Linked DNA regions of Daphnia pulex. The protein of the gene in region 1 interacts with the protein of each later gene in a pairwise test. Links are inferred from orthologs where the notes say so. Each region holds a gene or a part of one and is shown in the gene's direction. Other genes may lie near its edges. The genes, in order: kinesin-like protein KIF7 and smoothened homolog.

Evidence for each region.
Region 2: the proteins of kinesin-like protein KIF7 (region 1) and smoothened homolog interact in binary tests that used the Drosophila melanogaster proteins (3 or more experiments, as listed by UniProt). The link is inferred for Daphnia pulex from reciprocal best matches to the Drosophila melanogaster genes cos and smo.

What each region holds. Positions count from the first base shown.
Region 1 is NC_060028.1:3,197,188-3,201,708, forward strand, and holds the start of kinesin-like protein KIF7, read left to right. Parts: upstream 1-1,439; 5' UTR 1,440-1,643; coding exon 1,644-1,703; intron 1,704-1,786; coding exon 1,787-1,973; intron 1,974-2,055; coding exon 2,056-2,201; intron 2,202-2,286; coding exon 2,287-2,409; intron 2,410-2,489; coding exon 2,490-2,661; intron 2,662-2,728; coding exon 2,729-2,973; intron 2,974-3,057; coding exon 3,058-3,416; intron 3,417-3,479; coding exon 3,480-3,763; intron 3,764-3,823; coding exon 3,824-3,912; intron 3,913-3,993; coding exon 3,994-4,330; intron 4,331-4,430; coding exon 4,431-4,521. UniProt on the Drosophila melanogaster protein: Regulates cubitus interruptus (ci) processing by recruiting multiple kinases to promote its efficient phosphorylation.
Region 2 is NC_060027.1:3,194,332-3,198,789, forward strand, and holds the start of smoothened homolog, read left to right. Parts: upstream 1-1,544; 5' UTR 1,545-2,229; intron 2,230-2,300; 5' UTR 2,301-2,598; intron 2,599-2,662; 5' UTR 2,663-2,782; intron 2,783-2,840; 5' UTR 2,841-3,471; coding exon 3,472-3,783; intron 3,784-3,846; coding exon 3,847-3,969; intron 3,970-4,025; coding exon 4,026-4,139; intron 4,140-4,198; coding exon 4,199-4,408; intron 4,409-4,458. Other genes in the region: programmed cell death protein 2-like, read right to left, coding at 1-1,090, 1,152-1,244. UniProt on the Drosophila melanogaster protein: Segment polarity protein required for correct patterning of every segment. G protein-coupled receptor which associates with the patched protein (ptc) to transduce the hedgehog (hh) signal through the activation of an inhibitory G-protein.

The sequences.
Region 1 (4,521 bases):
ATTCAAAAGCGAATGTGGCTTCGATAAATGCACAAGGTATATCTCTTATGTTTTCTTTCATTTTATTATTTTTTACTTGAACAACGTTTCTTATTGTTAACAATTTAGGAATGTACATATCCTCAAATTTTTCACTACGGAATAGGTGATCCTGTTTATATTCCATATGAAAGAACTACTTTTGAACCTCCTGTACTTGTACCTGTATCTGCACTAGAAACTTTGCCTGTTGGAAATTTCAAGGAAGCAGAGGAAGAAGTTTCTTGTATGGATGTTGAAGATGTGGACGATGGCGTAGGGGAAGTAGCTGAAATTGAAGAAGAAGACGTCGTCACCAGTCAACAATTGGAGAATGGCATGGCCAAATTGGTATTTTTTTATTGTTTTTTACTGTGTAATGTCATTATTTCTAATATTAAATTTTTTTAGGTCAACATGTACAATGCTTTTTTCGAACAATCGAGAAAAATGAGTAAGCAGTTCCGCTAAAAGAATGATGACATTCAAAAACTTAAACAGTTTCTTGAAGCTGAAAAGCAAAGGTAATCGTGATTAATTTTTTTCGCAATTTTAATTTCCTAATAATTCCATTTTTTTTTAGATTAATGCAGTGAATGGATGACGAGGAGTGGGAGGTAAAGGCTGTCCTGGACGACGAACAACATGACGGAGTCGAGTATTTTAAAATATGTGTAAGGTGCAAAGCTAAGTAGCAGTTGCCATTAAAAAATGGTAAACTTGGAAATCTAGCCGCTGCGCTTTCTTTTTGAGGTGTTGGTAAAGTGCAGGGTGCAGGTGCAGGTTAGACGGTGGGTAAAGTGCGGAACCCGGAGTGCAGGGTGCGGCGTGCAGGTAGGTGGGTAAAATGCAGGCCCAAATGCTGCTCACAGAAAGTGCAGGTTAGGTTGGTTGAGTGGAGGTTTAGATGTGGCATGAAGTTATTATTTTGACCACTAGGTGGCTGCCATTTTTATATTGAACTTTTTTGGAGTTTTGTATTGAACTTTTTTTGGGTTTTATATTGACTTTTTTGGTTTTTATATTAACTTTTTGTTTTTTATATTACTCTTTTTGGTTTTTATGTAATACTTTTTACCAGTTTTTATATTGAATTTTTTTATTTTTATATTCTTTTCTGTTTTATGTATTGATATTTTGAAAAAAAATTTATATTGAAAAAGTGGCGGTTTTGGGCCCTCATAATTCAGCGCGCAACAGAGTGTAGACAATAAATAAAAAGTACACGCAAATGGATAATAACTGACTGAAGGCAGTCAAACATAAAATTTCACTGCACATTGCACTTTTCCTAACCTGCATTTTAGTGTAGAATTCTAAACCTGTATTTTACCAAGGGAGCCGCTCGGTTGGGGAAAGTGCAGGGCCCCTGCACTCCGGGTTCCGCTTTTTACCCACCGTCCAACCTGCACCTGCACCCTGCACTTTACGGACACCCTTCTTTTTTTGACATTTAAAGTAAAAGGGAAAAGGTGTTGTTGTTTCTGTTTCCTTGAAAATAATAATATACAATTACGTCAGGTGTTGTGTGATCATCTTTTCCTACTGTCAGTTGTGCGATCCGAATTGTTAATTGGTTAATTTATCCAACAAGAACTATTCTTAACTGTATTATCAATGTCGTGATGCTTTTCAGCGCTAGTCAAGACAGGGATTTACAAGCCCGAGTTCAACTCGTAACCCGGGTAAACAAGAACTTTAACCATTTTTTTTTTCATTAAGTAATTGTATTTCAACCCATTGTTCACAATTTTTGAAATTTAACTAGATTCGTTCACTACAAACAACTGATCATGTTTTACCAACACCATATTTTCAAATTGATCCATCCCATGGAACAATTGTGCTGGGAAACAATCGGTTATTTCATTTGGGCAATGTTCTCCCATTTGATTGTCCTCAACAGGCAATATTCAAAGGATATGTCGAGCCAATTGTCAATGCTTGTTTTGATGGTCTGTTAAATAATTTAAGAAAAGAACTGTTATGCAACTTCTTATACTTTTAACGTCATCTTATATGGTATTGGTATGTCAGGTTTCAACATAACTGTAATAGCGTATGGACAAACTGGATCTGGGAAAACATTTACAATATTTGGACCTGGATTGCTCTACACCATGAATGAATCTGATTTTGGTATGGTTCCACGGACTGTTCGTAACTTGTTTTACAAAGCTAAAGTAAACAGTTTGAAGTAATAAATATGTGAAGATTAAATAACTAAATTGGTTTTTGTTTGATATTTTGGGAATTTTTTTTAATTAGGAATACCCCGGAAGACAGATCTCTATCCAAGCAAGCTATTTAGAAATCTATGATGAAGAAATTCATGATCTTCTGAGTATGGAACCCTTTCATGGTGAAATTACTGTACAAGAAGATCAAAATGTATTATTTAAAAAAAAAAAAAATTTAAATGTGAAATTGCTGATAATAGCAATGCTATAATTATTACATATTGAATTTAGGGAGAAATCATCATCACTGGAGCAACACAAATGGAATGTCATACCATTGATGATGTATTTAGCTGTCTTGAAACTGGTCTGGCTTTAAGACATACTGGGCCCATGTTAAATCAACTCTCAAGTAGATCCCATGGAATTTTCACACTCTATATGCAACAGGCATGGACACAAGGTTGACTACTTTTCTTTATTCTTTTGTTGATAATTTTCTCAATGAAACTTGACATATTTTCTTTCAGATGGATGTTTGTATGAAGTGTGTTCTAAACTCCATTTTGTCGACTTGGCTGGATCGGAAAGACTTGGCCTCGGTGTTACCAGTAATCATGGAAACGACGATACACAACTAACAGGATTTCAGGAACCATTTTCCATTAATTCTGGCCTTCTTGCGTTAAGTAATGTCACGGCTGCATTGGGTGATCCTAGAAGAAAAGCTAGCCACGTGCCTTATTGGGATTCGAAATTAACCTACATTCTGAAAGTGTGTTTATTTTGTCAAAAACATTTCTTTTTCACTCTCTCTTTTGGTTACGATCTAACTGTGCATTTAAATTTATTCATGTAGGATTCACTGGGTGGTAATGCCTTCACCTTGATGATTGTGTGCCTTTCTCCTTCGGCTTCTGATTTGGAAGAGACGACGAATACGTTGAAGTTCGCATCAAGGGCAGCAAACATTTGTAATCGCCCAGTAGCGAATGTCCGCCTTACACCGATAGCTAATATTCCTTTGATGGCAATGGGCATAAACGCTCGCCCTTTTAATTTGGCTGGTGTGACGGAACTTGTGTCACCGCCTAACATTCCGCAATTTCAAATGAATGAAACTCCATTTACTTGTCAAGCTAATCCTATGAGGGACAATGAAGAAAATCGATCTGTATATCATGATCCTGAACAAACAGACGGAGATGAAGTTTTTAGGTCAGACTTTTAAATTTATAAATTGAAGCTTTCATTCAGCAATTGCATTTCTCTTTCCCATAGATTACGATTCGCAGCAAGTCAGTGGCAATTACTGGTGACCAACGCCGAAACACTTTTAAATGAGTTGGCTGCATCTGGGTTGCTTGGAAATGACACCAAAAACAAAATAGAATCTTGGCTTTGTTTGAAAGAGGAATACGCAAACTGTATTGATCCCGATTTGTTAACCATCAAACCGCGAAACAGAATTCAGAGTGATACCGATGGCAGTCACCTGACAGACTTGCCTATCACAACAAGCATATTTCACACCAGTGGTGAATCTAAAACACTCCATGTCATTGGTAACTAAATCTTTAGTGTGTGCGTGTGATAGTCGTTTTAACTATTATATTAATTTGTAGAAGAGGTATCCGAGCCCACTCCAACCCGTGAACTTTCTTCTGAACTGAGTAACAGGCATGATCGGTCGTCCATAGACTCGTCATCTGATGTAAGAACGGGAATAATGCAGCATTCTGTTTAACATAAAAAAACGTAAAATGAAAATATCGTATAATTTCTTTCATATTAGGGGTCTCACTTTACGGAGCAACTGGATATATTAAGGCAGCAATTTAGAGAAACAACTGACCGTTTAATCTCAAGCATCGAGTCAATGTATGATAACGCAACGTCTTTAGAATGGGGTGCATCAAATCCTATTGATTTATCTCAACACGCTGAATTTGACCGCGAACAATCAACTAGCAATTATAAAAGTGGGAATACCAGTCCGAAACCTCTAAGAACTGGTCGAAGAGTTAGTATATTCGGTCTTTCAAATGCAGTAGACCAACAGCCTCTAATAGGTGAAACTCGTTTATCAACTCCAGAATCTGTAAATAATGAATCATCATCTAATCATCCAAGTAAGTACTAAGTAGTTGAATCAGTTTTGAATTTTCAACCTATAGTCGATGATATCTTATATTTTTTTAAACACTAAACATCTTTGTTGCTTCTTGGCAGTTGAAGGGAGCCTGAAAGTCGGAGGCGATGCGGAAGACGATGCATGTCGAGAAATGCGACATTCTGCTGAGATTTCAGAAAAACGACAACT
Region 2 (4,458 bases), on another chromosome or scaffold:
AGTATTCTTCACGCGGAACTCCGTTCCAACAACTTTTAGAACAAGAATAGATTAAAACTGTGTCCAATTCGATGCCAGGCGTTTGCGCTGCAGAATCTTCTATTGTCAAGCGTTGACCAAGATGGGGCATCAGCTGCATTTCGAAGACAAGGGTAGCATTACAATGTTGGCACTTAAAAAGGACCGGGTCTTCTTTGGCGAGCTGCTTGAGTAGAAGTGGGTTACTTGCTCCACGATTATAGCGGATCAGCTGCTCGGGACAGGCCTGCACTTGAGTGACGAACTTGTGTACCAATCGATCGCCGTGACTAGGGGGAACTTTCTCGTACACTTCGTCTACTCGACCTGGAGTACTTTTACTGCTCTTCTGCATTTGTTTCAAGTCGCAATTTTCCCGGCGTTGGTATTCTTCCCAAAGTTGTTTGGCTCGCTCGTCCAACTTTTGATCGGAGAGTACAGCAGCGTATTGCTCTTCAACCACATTGAGATAAAAGCTTGAGAATTCAGAGCCAGAAAAATCGGGAATAGGAGCAGATGGAGGTGCAAAGAAAGTTCTGATGTCAACAGTTGGCTGAGGAGGTAGATCATCTAACAGAACAGATTCTTCAACACCTTCTACTTCCGCTGTAGGGACATTCATCATATTATCACAAGTATCAGCACTGTTTGATGGTGCAGGATGTTCAGGGCTAGAACTGTCCATGTTCTGGATTGTTAGGGAGCCAATTTCAAGTTCATGCACAGTAACTTCATCAGGTCTGTCATTGATAGTGGTGGGGGTCCCAGTGCCACTCTCCATATTTTCGTCATCACCCCAGTCGTCAGCATCATCAATCCAAGTTGTGGTTGAGGCTGTAGTTGCTGTTTGTACTTTGGCAGAAGTTAAAGTGGTAGATGTATCAGCTACTTCATCCCGTAAACAAATCCATCCTTCCTTTTTGCTGTGGCATTGAGGAGCCAGGCAACAAAATTGGTATAATGTTCTGTGATTCGGGGAATCATCTAGAGGTGCATAAATTTGAACAGCAAGTAACATCTTTCTGTTGCACAATTTACAACCAGGATTTGGGTAGTCTCCACTTGCCCAATTCTAGGATACAAAATTATTTGTTATTATCAGTAAATTTATGATGAAAAAAGTAAGGATTTACCGGTTTTCCCCCAACTTTGTTGACTTGAAAGTTAATTATTGCATTATCGTCTTTACCGATAGGTTCATCTTCCATACCCAACAAATAGGTCATTTTCGAAATAAAATTGATATAATTATTTTATTTTAACAAACGATTCTTATCAAAAGAAAAAAAATTGTGACAGATTTCAAAGCAAAAATATGGATAGGGCTGAACAGAATCTTTCGAGTTCTTCGCAATGTTGTTGAATAAATTACTGTTTTGTTTTTTCCACAGTTTTATTTAGGATTCGTTTAATAATCAATAGACCTGGACAATTATAGAGTAGTGGAGCAAAGTAATAAGGAAGTGGAAACCGTGCGTGCACTCATTCTTATAATGATGGATCGAATGGTGAAGGTGACCTTATGGCCTACAAAGTTGCGCACACGCTCGCCGCTAAAGGGCTTATGTATAATCACTACCCGTGTTTTAAATGGCCAGTCACAAGCGGAGAAGAAAAGGAAGAAGAAGAAGAAAAGAGGAGGGAGAAACCTGATTTGAATAACACCAGCACAAAACGAATAAGACTCACGAAAAAGTTTCAGTCGCATCTCTGACAATGATGAAAACGGATCTGGTTGAATCAATTGTGCGCCGCTGGAACATTTTCCAGTCGATTATTATCATTTCCACATTCGTGACTGGAATAATTGCAACATGTCCCGATCCTCGTCTAATTACGCCGTGTCAATGCCAAACCGAGAACAATGTCGTCTCCATGGTTTGTGCTAACCTACAAAGTGTCCAACAATTAATGAAAATCTTTGAACCGCCGTACCCTGTTAATCAACTCTGGCATTTGACGGTGAAACACAGCCACTTGGATGACTTGGAAGCCAATCTCCTTGGTGACAAGTCATTTGTCGTCATTTTGTTCCAAAATGTGACTGGCGTGAGCAAGATTATGCCACACGCATTTGCCGCTTCCGTCGATAGACTTCGTGTCCTGACTTTCGACTCATCGCCGTCGCTCAACGTCCTTTCAGTTCAAGGAATTGCTGACTTGGAAAATCTTGTCGACTTTGAAGTGACAGCCAGCGTCGATCAATTGATAGTATGCCCTTCTGATTTTGGCCGGTTTAAATTCACGACCACTCACGGTTATTTCTCATTTGCATTTATTAGGATTTTCCTTCTTTACCCAACTTGCAATATCTACACCTTTATGGCAATAGGTTTTCTGTTCCACCCAATCTACCGCAACTGCCTAAACTTCACTCGCTCTGGTTGAACTCTGGCAAGTTGACAACTATCAAACCTCTTGATCTAGCTTTCTTGCCTAGTTTGAGAAAGATTGTTCTCTTCGGCAATCAATTGCGACAGTTGGATGCTGGAGATTTGCATTTTCTATCTCCGCGAGTTGATCTGGTAGACTTGAGTGATAACGACTTGAGCAGTGGTATTCATCCAAATGCTATCCAAGGTAGAAAACACATGATTTTAATTAAATTTCTGCTGATGAATAGCTAATTCAATCATTAAATTAGGGATTAGCTTTAGCACGATTATTGACTTGAAGAAAACTAATCTCACCCAACTGGAGGAAGCTACTTTTCGGCCGATTCTAAATGTACTCGCCCGTGGTGCAGGACATATCCAACTTCACGGTAAACTCAATTGATTCACGTTTGGCTTTCACGAATAATTAAAAACCTTTTTATGCAGGAACCATGCTACAATGCGACTGTAATTCTTTTGGTTGGCTTCTTCGCGAACCCAAGTTAATGGCCAAAATTTCGCAAACTTCCAAATGTTCTGATGGCGTGAATATTCATTTCAAAACCAGCCGCCTAAATTGCCCTTTGAACGAAACAATATCCAGCCAGTAAAAACTAAAATCACACACAACTTCCTCAATTAGAAATTTAACGTATTATTTTAAAATATATATAATTTTTTAACATTTATTTTCGCAGTAAGTTTGAATAACGCTAATAATATATTGTAAAGAAAAACAAATGACAAACAATTCTATTTCCGCATAACAAAAACAATGTGGCCAGAAACGGCTTCACCTGGGTTCGACGTGTGGGGTCGTTTAAAAACATAGGAGCAGCAAGCAAAGTTTTTTGTCCTTGTCCTTGGGTCTCTTGTTGCGTCTTTTCAAAGGAAAAAACTAAGATATTAAGCTTCAACGAAAGTTTTAATGTCAGTCATGTTGGATTAGCTGGAAAAATTGAAATTCTGTCGTGTTGTTTGCTGAAGAAAAAGTAACTCTGAGCACCGCAAATGTGGCTGGCTTTGCGGCTTACTGTTCACTGGTGAGGAATATTGAAGTTCAGTGGCGTGTGGAAGAATGAAGTGGGTTTCCGTGGCCTTTCTTCTGTCCATCGGCACAGTTGTCGCCAGACCGAAATCTAGTAGCACTGAAGGAGGAATAGTTTTAAATGACATACCCACAAGTTCAGGCTCTAGGTCGAGGATTGAGCAGCCTTACCTACGGCACGCCTTAACTAGTGACTTGAGAAGGACTGAAGGACAAGATTTCTGCCGTAAAACAGCAAAATGTCAGCCAATCAAAAACAACATTTGCTTGACAACGAAATTACCATATTCACAAACATCTTTGGAACTGGTTACCGATTCACACACTCAGGATGATGTTCAGGTTTGGCAACATGATTTGCATTGTCCTTTTACAGGTTTGGCTAATCCTTTGTTTTTCTTCTAGGATAAGCTCATGTTTTGGCAGAACTTGAAAAGTGTTCCCAAATGCTGGGCTGTGATTCAACCCTTTTTGTGTGCTCTCTACATGCCAAGATGTGAAAATGGAACAGTAGAACTTCCTTCTCAGGTACATACAAAATTAGAATAAGTATGTTCAATCACTCAATGACATTTTACTTACAGGAAATGTGCAAGGTTATTCGTAATCCTTGCAGAATTGTGGAACTTGAACACAGGAATGGCTGGCCAGATTTTATGAGATGTGAAGACACTGAAAAATTCCCTTCTGGCTGCAAAGTTTGTAATTATTATGTGCATTCATTTGCTATTACTAACGAAACTTTTTTCTCTTGCAGAATGAGGTGAGAGAATTGAAATTCAACATCACTCCAAAGTGCCAGTCTCCTCTGGTGGAAACGGACAATAGTTTGGCTTATGTTGAAGGAGTTGACGGATGCGGACTGCCTTGCACTTCCCCGCTGTTTACAAAGGAGGAACATGAACAAGTCCAACGATTCACACAGACTCTGGTCGCCATGTGCCTCACCACCAATTTGTTTGCTGTGGTAAGATAATAAACACGTTTAGAATATGGAGATAAATGAATCAATAATCA